2 linked regions of the Alligator mississippiensis genome follow. The protein of the gene in region 1 purifies or fractionates together with the protein of each later gene. This does not show direct contact. Links are inferred from orthologs where the notes say so. Each region holds a gene or a part of one and is shown on either strand. Other genes may lie near its edges.

What was found. The genes of interacting proteins can lie anywhere in the genome.
Region 2: the proteins of RPP40 (region 1) and RPP25 purify together in Homo sapiens (affinity purification with mass spectrometry; 3 studies listed by BioGRID and IntAct, counting the BioPlex papers as one, with this or other methods). This does not show direct contact. The link is inferred for Alligator mississippiensis from reciprocal best matches to the Homo sapiens genes RPP40 and RPP25.

The regions. Positions count from the first base shown.
Region 1 is NC_081826.1:122,607,785-122,615,730, reverse strand, and holds the start of RPP40 (ribonuclease P protein subunit p40), read left to right. Parts: upstream 1-4,937; 5' UTR 4,938-5,025; coding exon 5,026-5,151; intron 5,152-6,948; coding exon 6,949-7,093; intron 7,094-7,946. UniProt on the Homo sapiens protein: Component of ribonuclease P, a ribonucleoprotein complex that generates mature tRNA molecules by cleaving their 5'-ends. Also a component of the MRP ribonuclease complex, which cleaves pre-rRNA sequences.
Region 2 is NC_081834.1:27,514,660-27,520,921, reverse strand, and holds RPP25 (ribonuclease P protein subunit p25), read left to right. Parts: upstream 1-4,432; 5' UTR 4,433-4,802; intron 4,803-4,965; 5' UTR 4,966-4,966; coding exon 4,967-5,626; 3' UTR 5,627-5,758; downstream 5,759-6,262. UniProt on the Homo sapiens protein: Component of ribonuclease P, a ribonucleoprotein complex that generates mature tRNA molecules by cleaving their 5'-ends. Also a component of the MRP ribonuclease complex, which cleaves pre-rRNA sequences.

The DNA of each region.
Region 1 (7,946 bases):
TCATAGATAACAAACCAGAATGCAAAGACATTAAAAAGTTCATTTTGTGCTTTACATTGCACCTCAGCTTTGACAAACCAGATCTGGTTTCAAAGCTGAAAAAAATATATGGAAGAAGCTGTTGCCTTCTGACAAGAAACTTTTCCAGATAATGTGAAGACTAGGAATTTCATTCCAAATCCTGTCATCTTTATAGAAAACAGAGTCAGTTCTTCACCAGTGCCAGGAAACATTTCACAAATCCTACCCAACTCCAAGCCATTACTACACTCTGCCTCAAAATGCTACTTCTTGATGACAACCTATAATTTTTTTCAAACACATAAAAACCAAACTGTTGTATTACCTAATTACCCAGATTTTGAGTGGAGACAGCTACCGAGACTGCGGTGAATTTCCAGGGTCTGAGAAATACAAATGATTTCATGTTTAAAATGCCCAATGTCACAATACTTAGAAACCTCACACCTAGCTAAACACAGAAATATAGTAGTCACTGTAAGGAAGTCAACATTTACAACAGTTACCATGCCCTGAGACAGCTTATATTTAAACATGAATACTCTGACATTTTAAAGACTATTGTATACATTGCAAAGGTTTTTTTTAATACACATCACTGAATCTGGTGACAATCAATGTGCGAGTGAGGGATAACAGTGATAGCTTGGCAGTTGCATCAGTCTAAGAATATAGCAATGAAAATTACAGGACTCTACTGAAATGGAGTAAAATATGCTCTGATCACCATCCCTAAAAAAACCCAGCTAGGCTCTGCCAGATACACAGCTCCAAATGGTGTTTGTCCAGACCCTGCCCAACACTTTTATTTTTCATTGAACTTAATTTAGCAACAGCAGAAAGCACTAATCCTCTCATTATTACCCCTCCACAAGATAAGAGCTGCACTGCAAATGAATGAACACTTTTCACTGTTGTGACAGAGCGTAAGTCGACTCATGTTCAAATAACGGTGCAAAGCTCATCTGTTGACACAAGCTTTGCCTGAAGGTCTGCAAATGCTGTATCTATATGCTGATAGTTGAATCTTGCAGCTGCATACTTTATTTAGTTGACACTAATCATCTAATTTTTATATTTTATAAATGACCATGTGAATATCAGCCAGAGGGAAATGAAATGTAACAGGTACATTATTTTCAAATTAGGAGCCTTGTAATTACACATGCAGTTGGCTTATTTGTAGAATTTAAACTACCCTTTAAAAAGGTCACTGAGCCAGTGACTTCCAAACCCTATACCTTAACAAAAATCTAGCAAACTGGAAGTGCTGAACCAATGAGCTCCAAGCAGACGGTGGTTGGCATCACCGCAGAAAGGTGTACTCATAAAGCCAGACACTTTACAGAGATCAGTCTTAGAATCAGCCAAGCAAGCCAGTACTGAGCTAGTGAATTCATAATGGCCTTGCACCTACTATCAAACCAGTAATCTATGGTTCTTCTAGGACACATATTAACCAGCCTCTTCAAATAAATCAGCAAGTAGAGTATAGGCGTGAGCCAGCAATATCAGAGACCAAGGCCTAGATCATAATATAGCTACAGACTGTACCAATGGAGCACAAACATATATGTCGCAGAGGCCTCAGCTTTGATATCGATTTGGCAAGGTAAAATGCTGAGCTACTAACCTTAGGGAGGCATGAGCCTTGACATGAGTTGAAGGTATATCTAAAGAGATGCAAAACTTCACATCAGTTCAAGAGCTATAACTTCTGTGATAGTTACCCAAAATATGTTTGTGGCTTGATATCAGTCCAGGAAGCCAAAAGTGCTGAGCCAGGGATGTCATACAGGCATCTATGGCATGATACCAGCAGGCTAGAGCCATTGAGAGAGCTGATCCTAATCGAGTTTTGTGCCTGGATACCAGCCCAGCACACTACAGTGGTATAGATGGTCAGCTCCCAGAAGCTCACGGTTCGTCCTTAGTCCAGCAAGCTGGAGGTGTTGAGCTAGTCAATTTACAGGAACCCAAAATATTTACATCAGTTCAAGCTATCACTTGGTGAGTGAGCTAATGAAGTCAGACTTGAGCTCTGACATTAGTCCAGCAAACTATATATCAGGTGAGCTAGTGAAATAACAGAGGTCTGACACTTTAGATCCATTTGGAAATGACCTAATTGTATCCTGTCTCTTAAAAACAGTGCAGCAACCAACAGGACTTTTTTTCTTGGCAGCCACCCAATTAGAGAAGTAAGCAATCATTCTCACATAGTCCTACGTGCTGACATGAGATAATAAAAGTTAGATGCTGTGCCATGACCTTCACAGTACTGTGGCTTAACTTTAACTTGATATACTAACATTGCTAAGGTAGCAATCTTACACAAGCTCTTGGTTATTCCTGGAGCAATTGTTGATGGACTATTATAAAACCTGTCTTCTTTCAGACTCAGCATTTACAGCTTCTATTATTTATGTATTGAAAAACTCTGGGAGACATTTGAAGATGAGTTGACTTGGTAGCTGTGATTATGGTCACTTCAGGTAGTTTGTACTAGTCTAAGCTGAAAGAGCAACCAGAATGACAGAAAACAAAGAGATGATGGCTAAGGAAGGAGGAAGAGTAAGTAGAAAAGGAAAAGGCAATTTACACATCCGTCATCTTTAAACAATCTTAGAAAAGTCATAATCATGCCTTCCTATACTACTACGTCTTTGTGGGGTAACTATCTCAGACTAATGTGAAGGCTAGGGTCTCTATGAAGCCTCTAACTCATCAGATATGGCTTAGACTGATGTCAAGGCTCAAGCCTACTTACGATTCAGCATTTCTATCTTGCAAGCCCAGTAAAATAGAAATGCAACATTTTTTAAATCCTGTCAAACTGGATGCATATGAGGAATACTCACAGAGTCTCAATGAGCCCAAATTCATAGATAGCTCAAAGAGTCCCAAAAATTCCCACGAGATTGTGATAACACCTGAGCAGAATCTATGTACTGGCCTGTCTTACAAGTTCTCAACACACTTCACAGTTTTCCAAGGTCCAGATATTTATTTCCTGTGTAGGATTATGAGTTGTCTGCCAAAGGGGCAGGTTGGTAAACTGCCTCCAGCACGTTTGACATCTTGTGGGTTGAGTCTTTACACCTCTAGCAGGGCCCTAACACATCCATTTTCGCTTCACACAGTCAAGATGTCTACATGCTTCAACACATCCCTCATTTGCTCAATATTTCCAAGGACCATCTCTCTCAGGATTCTGACTCTTCTCAGCAGGGCTCCTGAAATAGCAAGGAGAAAACATGCTTCCTAATTGTTCCAGTCATTTTTTCTGGTTCATAGGAGGAATCTTGAGTGGAAGACGTCAATTACCATTTCTTAATTGCTGTCTAGAATACAAGGCATGAGAGTACATGAAGGATGGCTCATTCATTATTAGTGCCTGCCTGAAGTGGCTGGATTAGGGGATATTATATTACTGTACTTACTGGCAGGAAAGGTAACAGCTGACATCCTACACTGATGTCCTGCCACTATCAATGTAGAAAGAGAAGTATCTACATTTAAGAGCGATGAATGAATCTTGTAGGATGTATTAGCAACACAGCTTTCTGTGGATGAGATGATTACCAGTGTGCCTAGGGGTTTCCTATGAGATGTAATGTTGTCAAAGCGTGTGAGAAAGAAAATGATGGAATTTCCTACAGCTTGTACCATTATCGGTGCTCATTGAGTGCGAGTGTGTGTTTGTGATGAGGGTGAGGAATTTCCCATGTGATGGTGTAGGAACCATGCTAGAAATACTTCTACTAATAATGTGCATGGTGTGAAAGGACTACAGCAAATGCAAAATCAATTATTTGATAATATTATCTATCCACAGTGAACTCACATTGTTTGTCTGTAAATAAAATGTTCTAGTGTAAACATAGCATATAGGCAAAGCAACAAAAAACTAGGCCTAACCATGGTATTGATCATGGAAGGAGTTCTACACTTCGTACACCAGTCTCACCCACGTTTTTCTGACACTGTTTTGCATTTGGCTAGGAGATTAACTTCTCTTTCCCTCACACTGATGACACAAAGTTCCTTTAAGTACCATGATACATACATTTTTAAAAAGTTTAACTCTCCATTGCCCAAAACCTTGTGTTTGAACACTCATCCAAAATCTCTTCCAACCATGCAGTTGGTCCAATAGAAGATCTCATTCCACCCCCCACAAAATAGCCTTAACTCTCGAGTGGGACAGGTGATGAATTAACTGTTTAGCAGGCTGCAGTTTCCGTGTTGCTAGCTTCTCTAGTGATTTTCTTCCGACTTGAGAACATTTTGTTTTACTTCCTCAGCTCCTGGAGACAGATGAGGATTTGAAAGTATCTCCTCAGCTTCATCAAGGCTTGTGGTTTTATCACAGCTCTTGCATCCTTTTTCCAAGTCCCCAGCTCCTGGAGTCTAGTGATTACATGAAAAACAGCTTTTTTTTCTTCTTCTTCTTAAAAGGAGATTTCTAATCTCATCAGTAACAAAAACAATGCTTGGGGCCAAGCTCACAGCCAAGATTTGGAAAATAATTAATTTAGACAAATCCATTAGATTGTAGAAGCTTTTCTTGCCCAAATGATGATGCCTCAGTGTTTGCCCCTGACAATTCTGCAAACCAGGAGGAACTAATACTTAGCGGTGTGGAGGGGGACAACACACAAATAATGTTTAAACGGTGCAGGACAACCTCTACATGAGGTTCCTAGCAGGCAGTCACCAGCTGACCATAAGCAGCAGCACTCCACCCTTCCTGCTTCTCCTCTGCCTCTTAACATGAGATGAAGGCAGACTGAGGGCAACACCTTCCCCAGGCAGCACTGAGCATGCGCACACCCCTCAGGCGCCTTCCACCCTGCAAAAGCCGGCCCCGGAAGTAGCTGCAGGGAGGCGGAGGAAAGCCGCCGGAAGTGACTTCACGAGCTTCTTCCGCCAGCCCCGGTTTGGTGACGCGGCTCGGCCCGGCTCCTGATTGCCGGCTGGGGGTTCCGCGCTGGCTGCAGCATGTCGGCGCCGCTGCGGAGGCTCCGCGAGACCCCGCGGCACCTGCTGGTCTGCGAGAGGAGCCACGTGCGGCACGAGCGCTCTCGCCACGCGGCGCGCGTGCGGGGCCACGCCTACAACTGCCGCGTGAGTGCGCCCGGGGGGCGGGGCTTCGCGGCGTGACGTCGCTCCCGGCTCGCCTGGGACTCGTTAGGGAGAGCAATTAAACTATTAATTAATTGATCAATCACACATTAAACCCGAGGGACCCCCACCGGTTAGGTGCAGGGATGCCCTTAATGCTCAGGATGAGACAGTGCCCTGAGCTTTGGGCTGGGTGCTCACCCAGCCTCTCCCCATTTTACAGATGGGAAAACTGAGGCACAAGGTTGTGTGGTCACCAGCTCACACTGCCTGTCTGCTCTTGCTGAGGGAGAGCAACGCATTGTTGTCATTAAACCCCAGGAAGGGTTCCTGTCCCTCTCTTCCTGGGTGCCCTTAATGCCCAGGCTGGGCTGTCCTGCCCAGAGCTTTTGCTTGCGCACTTGGCCCTCTCCCCATTTTACAGGTAGGAAGACTGAGGCTCATCAAGGTCCAAGCCTGCGGCAGAGCTGGGAGACGAGCCAAAAAACCAAACCCAACCCAAACTCAGCACAGGGTTTCTAGCCCAGAGCAAAGCAATCGCCCTCCCTGCCCGGTTGTAACAGGGCAGCAGGGGCACAGAGAGTCTCAGCCAGGGCCCCTGGGGCCGTTTTAGGGGGCGGCACAGCATTAGCACTGCTTGGCGGGCAAGCACCTGCAAGTGGGTGACAAAAATGTCATTGCTCCTTTAAAGCAGCCGAGACTTTGAATTTGATTGTCCAGCTAGGAAATAAGATTTTCCCAGTCTTAGGCTGTGATACCAGTGGCTCAAGGAAATTAATGGGAAACTATTGCTGATATAATTGACTTAAAGCATTTCTATATGTTTTTTCTTATTCTGTTTGGAGCAATTATGTTAGAGCTTGTTTTTATTTGTTGGATGTAATGTGCCTGTCACTTGGTTTTTACGTTGTTTTGTCCCTGCTCTGACATGAATTAAATCACCACTGCTGCCACCTGTTTTGAGTTAATTCCTGTGTGAAATGGAGCAACAGGTTGTCCATATTATCACCACAATAATTCTTTATATACTCTGAAGTCACTGTGTGGAGTTAGTATTGAAACCATGCCTGTGGTGGTTGCTGTAGCCTTGTGAATATGGCATTCACATAATAAAATGGGAGATTAAAACACAGATGCTTTATTTCTTTGAAGTTTTTTTTCTTTAAACACTAGCAAGTATGACAAGTTCAAGATATTGCAGTTGATTTGCCTAACCTTGCTTGGGTGCACTGCATCAGTCTTGATTACACTGCCCACAATATGAAAAGTGCACATTTCTGTAGTTTAAATTCAGGTATCTTCTTTATTTTCTGCTTCTCGACTCCGGTTTTCCCTCCTCCCCCAATTGAGAAAGCTGTTTTTACTTCTGTGTAGTGCTACACGCTATCCCAGCTTCCATGTTTGCTATCTGTTGCAAAGTGGATGTCCACTGATGTTTTCTCCACTGATTCCAGGATTGATTGGTATGCATATTGTTTCATTTAATGTTTTATAAGCATTTTGGAGAAACATCCTCAAGAAATATGCAGTTCCTCAGGGAAAGTCTTTCTGTAATTTATAACTAAGCTTAATCCATTTTTGGCCTGCAGGTTGCAGTGTTTCAAAGTTTCTGACACACAAATCATGTTGCAATGCTACATATGATATGCTGAATGAGGTTTTGAAAATTTGGCACATTAGGGAACCACCCAGATACAAGAACTCTGTGTTTTCTCTCTCTTTCTCCTCCAGCCCTGTTTTAGACCTTTCCTTATGTATGAGTGTAACATCTAATGTGTATTACAAATATGGTCCTAACAGGTGTCATTTTTGATTCCTGAATGTGGCGTGCTTCCAGAACCTCTGAAAAGTGTTACCACAGATATGGGAGAGTACTACCTGGTGAAGAATTTACCCCTTCATGAATTGGTTGCACAGGAATTTATCAGTGCATTTGTAAAGACAGGTAAAGGAGAGCTTAAAACAAATAAGACAAACAAATAAAAAGGTGTCATCTGTTCTTTTAATAATAAAACATGTTTTTGTTAGTTTCTGTGTGGGGTAGTCTTGGTTCTGAAAGTTATTTGTAAGCAGAAAGAGAAAAGTATTCGAGTAGAAATCTGTATCAGTCCCGTCATCTCCCTTTCTTTCTGTTCACTTATATATATACTTGTATAGCTGTCATAATGCAGAGGAAGAGGTTGGTAAAAGAAACAGTAAGAAAAGTGGACAGGGAGAGGAGAGGAGAGTCAGCAAGTCAGTGTGCATTGGCTTTTGTGTAATTGTTTTTCCTTGGGTTTTTTTTTTTTTATGATGGGAGAAAAAGAGACTTCTGTACTTCAGTTAGATTAATAGAGCTTTTTGGCTAGCACCCCGAGACCAGTGCTTGTAAAGGTACACTGTTTCCTGAAAGCATTTATTTTTCTGTCCTTTATAGTACTTTGTCCCTGCACACTTCTATCAGGAATGATCTTGAGAGCCACTAGTTAGAGAGTAATGTTTTAGGTCATTTAAAAGTAAGGATTCCAAGATTTCAGTTATTATTACTTTGTTTTCTTGCCTTAGAGAGTTTTGAGGTAAGAATCATTAAGTGGTTTTACAGATGAATGGGGGACAGTGAGATGTAAAAAGTTCCAGTTTGGGAGATGAGACCCCATTGGGAATAGCAAAAGGTGAACATGTGTAAGACCCATGGCATTTGTCATAAAAAGAAAGGGAAGGAAGACTATTGGCCTCTGTGTTCTAACTCATTTCCATTTGGGTATTCATGATCTGCCAGTGCAGATTTCCCTTATAATTTTAATTGGGTATTAGTTATG
Region 2 (6,262 bases), on another chromosome or scaffold:
AAATGAGCAATTTACACTTCTCCAGCATCCCAGGTTGCCCTGCTCCCAGGTCCTGCCACAAGCAGGGACAATGCCCCTGTTCACCAGCCCTCTAGTGGCTGTGCAGGCAAGAAACAGTGTTAACCCTTAATGTGTAACTGCTCATAGCACATGTAAGTAACATCACTTACCATTCCACAGATGTAGTATGGTCTAAGTGTACCATGTAACTTCACCGTAAGTGTTTGCAGTAGTTGCCAGACTAGTTAAGGAGAACAGTTCAAATATTGTCCTTTACAATTAGATCGGTGGTGAAGATATCTCTCCATTGAGACTTTGCCCAAAGCCCTGAAGAGCTAATGCCAGCTGCGGTAAGCTGCAGGGGAATCTATGCTTCATCACTTGATGGCTGTAACCCAGGCATTGGGCTAGGTTTCCTAACACCTGGTGCTGCTTGTGACTTTCAATAGGAAATGGGCCAGTACACACACACACACACACACACACACACACACACGTACGTCAGGCAACCTCCTTTGTTGGGGCTTTATTTAATCACGGCAGGGTATTGATCCTGACCTTGACTTGGAGCACTGAGATAGCTGGTCCTGGGCTGGATCTGGCTGGCTAACTAACCAACAGCACAGCCAGACTAATTACTCACCTCACTGGGTGGCCAGGGCCCTCTGTTCTGCTCATACAGGGAGAAAATTGTGATTTATTGGAGACCTCAGTTACACCTCGTTTCTTGCCTGGCTCTGACAAGAACTTGGTCTTTCACTGCATTGGGCCCACCCTCCGCATGCAGGAGTGAATGATGCATCATACTGAAGCATTCAGATAGTTGAAGAAAGCAGCAGACCCCTAAATGTAATTATCATATGATGCCACATTACCCCTTGCCTCATCCCTTGCACCAACCTGCCAGGACCCTTCTCAGAGATGTAGAGAAGCATTTAATTGGATTTAAAAAAGCATTACAATATTTCAGGCACCTGAACCCCATTTATTTGAATGGCTATTAAGCCTACTAGATGCCTATTAACAATTTTGGGTGCCAAAATCCCTATGTGAATCTGGCCCTTGGTCCAAGGATTTTATGTTGAGATTGGAAGGAGGTTTTGATCTCAGCTTGAATGTTTTGTGAGGCCAAAATCTTCATCATTTGATGATGTCCGTGTTATATTTTATGAGCCATGAAGAGCAACCTTGCACTTTCAGTCCAAATGATTTTTATTGTCAATGGAAGGAAACAATAGGAGAAGAGAGAACAAACGTAAAGTCTCTGTGTCTTGCTGCATGTCACACTGCGGCCACAGAAACATGACATGGGAGCTGGATCACAGCTGCTCCTTCAGGGAGACTCCTCTTCACTTAACAACAGAGTTCCCTCCAAGAAGCGCTCAAGGAAATTTTCTGAGACAGGTGACTCATCTTCCCATCCAGGCAGAGCAGAAGCAGCCCTCTGGGCCTGCCAGCGCACCTGAACTAGAGTTGGCAAGAGTAGGCCTTTGTGATAAATAGTCTGTAATGTAGACAAGGCTTCTGAGGAGAGGACGTGGAGTGTGCACTGCGCAGTTGGGAGGGAGGAACCCTAGGAGCAGTTGGCCCTGGCCTAGCTGGAGTTATCCAGGTCTAGTCACCACGGCATCTTCTAGAGGAGATTCTGTGGAGAAGACTTTCCCTTGAAATGTTTCCCTAGATAGGCCCAGCAGCTATGAAGTCTTTAGAGCTGTTTCCCTCCCAGCCTCCCTCCCTCTCCAGCAGTCTCTCTCTCCTAAACAATCATCTATCTTTGTCTCTGGATGATTATAGATGAGGCGATAATTCACTCTGAACACTCAGGGAGGGTTAATTCGTTGAGGGGGGAGATTTACTGCCCTGCACCAGAGGGAAAGAGAAACAAGGGAAAGGCTCTGATGGAGTGACAGAGAAAAGGAGGAACGTGAAAGAGGAAAGATAAATGGGTAGAAAGTGAGTGAAAAGATGAATGCCCTGCATCCTCAGCTTGCATTTCACATTGAACTCACTCCATCCCCTGTTCGCAATGATCCAGGCTGGGACTGACAGCCCACACTGGAGTGGAGCATGGGGAGAAATTGGAAGAGGAGAACAAATTATATAGGAAAGAAGTAAAGAGGAGGGTAAAAGAAGAAAATGGAGGGAAAGTTAAAAGGGAGACAGAGGAGAAGGGGGTAGCTTGAAGGAAGAGGTAAAGGACAAGGGAAGGGCAAAGCAGCAAGGGGAAGTCTGTGGCCCAGCCTATCAGTCATATGGGTGCCAGTAGCTGCAGCCAGTGCTGGCGGGGGGCCTTGTGTCACCACCAATTGGATATTGATCCTCGCCTGCCTGGTGAAGCCACTGTTCTTCCTTCTTTATGACAGTTATTGAGTTCCTTTACTCCATCTTTTATGCAGCAGAGTGAGAACGCTCACCAGGCATCCAGCCCTGTGGCCTTAATTGCTAGTTGATGAGAAAGCCGCGATGACTGAATCATCACTGTCAGAGGCAGTGCCTGCCCATCTCCTTGTGTTCCTCTGCTCCTGGGATCACACATACTGCCCAGCTGATGGACTGGGATTGGGACCCAGTACCACCCTGTGCAGGGATGAGGCACCCCTCACCTAGAGTAAGGAGGGGATTCAGGCACCACCCTGTCTCAGCAGAGGAAGGGTAACCTGACCAGAAGGCTCCCCTGCCCCTCAGGAGCCCTTATCCAGTCACACATGGGTTCATTCCTCTCCTCTGGTACACTTCAGCCATCACATGGAAGCACTGTCTTCCCCTAGAGGGATAAGGACATGAGGGCAAGAAAGGTTTCTCCTCTGGTCTAATGCTAGACCCTACATCATGACCATTAGCCTCTCTCCTTCCCCCTCCCCTGAATGGGAGAAGAGTTCAATTTCCATGTTCATTCCTCTTCTCTTCACATTGCCTTAGTGTTTCTGAATGTCTAGGTTGCCACTAATGGGGTGAATGAGGCTTAGGGTGGGCCAGTCCCTCCCCTTCCAGTCCTGCTGCTGAAGAGGGGGCCTGGGAACCACAGAGGCCTTAAATGTGCTTGAGACTAACCTGAGATTTGAAGGCTGAGGCTCACAGGAGACTCCCCACTAGGGACTGAGGGATTCTCCTGCCCTCTAGTGGGAGTAGTGGTAGCAGTGGGCCTGTCTCCAGTCCTATAGACCAAAGGACTCTCTTCTTTCCCCTTAGGAGTGGTAGTAGAAGGCCTCCTCAGCTGCATTAAAGGCCACAGCAGAGGATGCCTCTCTCTCTCTCTCTGGGAAGGCAGGATGGCAGCAGGGGCACTCTGGCACTGTCTCCCGCTGCTGGGGTCCCTCTGCCTGGGCCTGGGCTGGGCTGCTGCCTTCTTTTCTTCCTGCCACACTTAGTCTGCTTGGCAGGGAGGAGTTCTCAGGGGCCCCAGAGCACCAGGTCTTGGCAAAGCTGAAGTGAGGCAATCTGGAGCTCTCAGCACATAGCAACATGTGGCTCCTCTCCAGCCACTCTGCCCTCACATATGCCCACCCCTCACTGTGTCTGGTGATGAAGGAGGAACTGCTTTTCCCAGACCCAGCGGGCTTTGAAGTGTGTGGGATCTAGGAGCTGGGTCCACTCAACAACAGGCCCAACACTTCCATCCAGAGAGGGTCCCGGGGTTCCCTGCACAAGGAGTCTCCCTAGTGACTCAGGAGAACAGGGGATCTACGAGTCTGGACACACTATATACCACCATCCTATATACTGGTTTTGTACTGATATAAATGATCCCAGGCTCTGGAGCAGACAGACGACCTGCTATCTCAGGGTAAGTGGTAACAGAAGTTGATGCTCTTACAGTTCCTGACCACTAGGTGGCAGGAGAACACGATTTGCCTTATATCAAGCAGCTACCCCAGGATTGCTCTGGACCCATAGTGTAACTTACCCCAGTGTCGTTTTAACTCTGATGTTTCCCCCAGGGTAATTCTACAAGGGCTTCAAGTCAGGCATTCCAGTGTAGGGCTGAACGCTGTGTGTCCGCTCCTTCCTGACACCCATGTACATGGGCTGATTGCACCCATGCAAATGGGCCATGTGTCCAAGCCCTGAAGGACACTACAATGAATACAACAATAAATCAGCCTGCACACATCAGCTTAATGAAGGGCCCTGCTCTGCCTGCAGGGAGCTTGGTCCCCTGGTGGGGATGCTCAGTGTCAGAGCTAACTCAGCCAGTCATGGAAAAGCAGGAGCAAGCAGCTGCCGGTACTTTGCTGACATTTGCATTTAGCAGTTAATGTCCTTGAGCTGGAGAAATCACCCAGGAGAAGGGGCCAGTTTCTCTTTAAGGGGGCAGGACTCTGGAAGCATCATGAAGAAAGAGTAGCTTTCCTTCTCCCCCACCTCCAGCCCCCCTTCCACTCCCCTCCCCCCCCCTTCCAGCTTCTCTTGGACTAGGGAAAAGTCAGACTCTCCTACCAGCCAGGGAAGTAGGGTTGGGGGGATGAAGCAGAGAGCTCTGTGCTGGGATGGGAGGCTGAGCAGGGGCGTGGGGTGAGGGAGGAGGAAAGCGGGGGAGGAGGAGAAGAGGGAGGATCTACTAATTACACAAAACAGCTCTGGGGGCTGCTGAAGTCCAGAATGAAGCACAGAGCAGCAGAAAGGAGTGCTGCAGTGGGAGCGGAGGAGCCCAGGCATTGCTAAGTGCAGGCACTGTGAGGGATTCCCACCCAGGGAGGATTCTGCAGCTCTGTCTCTTCTGGGGACTGACTGTCCAGCACAGCCACCACAGGGGACTGGTCAGGCTTCACCCAAAGTCCTTCTTCACCTGCCCAGCGAGAGGGGTGAGTAGCCAGTCGGCAGAAGTGGGATAATGGGGGAGCAGGACTAAACTTGCCCCTCTGCTTGCTGACCCACAGCTGAGGGAGTCTGGTACTTCCCCGGGAGCCTTTGCAATGGACATTGGGGTTTAGGTTCCTGACCTTGCTCATTTTCTCCCTGGGGAAGGATGGCTGCTGAAGGGGCAGAATCCAAGCCCATGCCTCCTGTCACCCAGTCCAGGATGGAGAACTTCAGGAAGGTGAAGACATCAGAGGAAGACAGCCCGCTGCCCTTTACTGGCCTGGCCCCTGATGTGGTGGAAATGAAGGTGAAGGAGGGCAGCAAGATCCGAAACTTGATGGGGTTTGCCATGTCCAGGATGGAGCTGAAGGGCACTCGGCAGATTGTCTTCAGTGGCTGTGGCCGGGCGGTCACCAAGACCATTACTTGTGTGGAGATCATGAAAAGGAAGCTGGGGGGTCTCCACCAGGTCACCAAGGTGCGCTACAAGACCCTGGTGGAAGTCTGGGAAAACAAGGACCCTCTGCCCAATGGCCAAGTGGAGACCCTGACTGTCCATAAGAATGTGCCCTCCATCTGCATCCTGCTCTCCAAGGACCCCCTGGATCCCAGTGAAATGGGCTACCAACCCCCAGAGCCCAGGGAAGGGCTCTGGCCAGAAGAGGAGGAGATAGAGGATGAGATATCCACTTCCTCCCCAAAGGGCATGAAGAGACCTTTGACATCTCCACAGGAGGAACTGAATAACAAGAAGTTGCAGGTACAGGTACCAGAGAGTCAAAAGGGCTCAGGGATGATGGACTACATGCTGGACTATCCTCACTGACTGCCCCACCTCCCACTCTGAGAAATAACCTAAGCCATACATAGTTTCTATAGAAATGAGATTCTATATTGAAGACACTCCAGATTTTTAGATGCTTTGTAATCAATAAAGGGACAATGAAGTCAGCAACTAGCTTGGTCATGAGTCCTGGTGGTCTTGGCTGTCCCCATGCTTACCTTCTTTCATAGACATGGGTAATCTTTCCCCCTTCCCTTCCCACACACACTCCTCTGCCTCTTTGGTAGTAGCAGGAGGAGGGCGAGCCATTTCCAAGCTGCAGGGAGTGTGGTGTGGACAGAGATACCCCTCCAATGGAAAGGCAGCAAGGTACAGGGGACAGCTCCTGGGCATATGGTTGCAGTGGGTTGGTGGTCATAATGGTGTGGGTACAACACCTTACACTGAGCTTCAGGTACCAGGTAAAGACTAAGTATCCTGCTCCAAGGAAAGTGCAAACTAAAAAGGAAAAAGGAGTATGATGGGGTATGCTCAAGGGGTGGGAAAGTAAAGGGGTGGCATGTGTGATTACTGATTGGAAAAGGTTAAACCTGCTAGCCACTGGATAAAGCCCAAGTGGCAGATTAACAGATGTGGAAATAGGGCAAGAGTCCCATATGGGAAGCCGGAGTGTGTGTG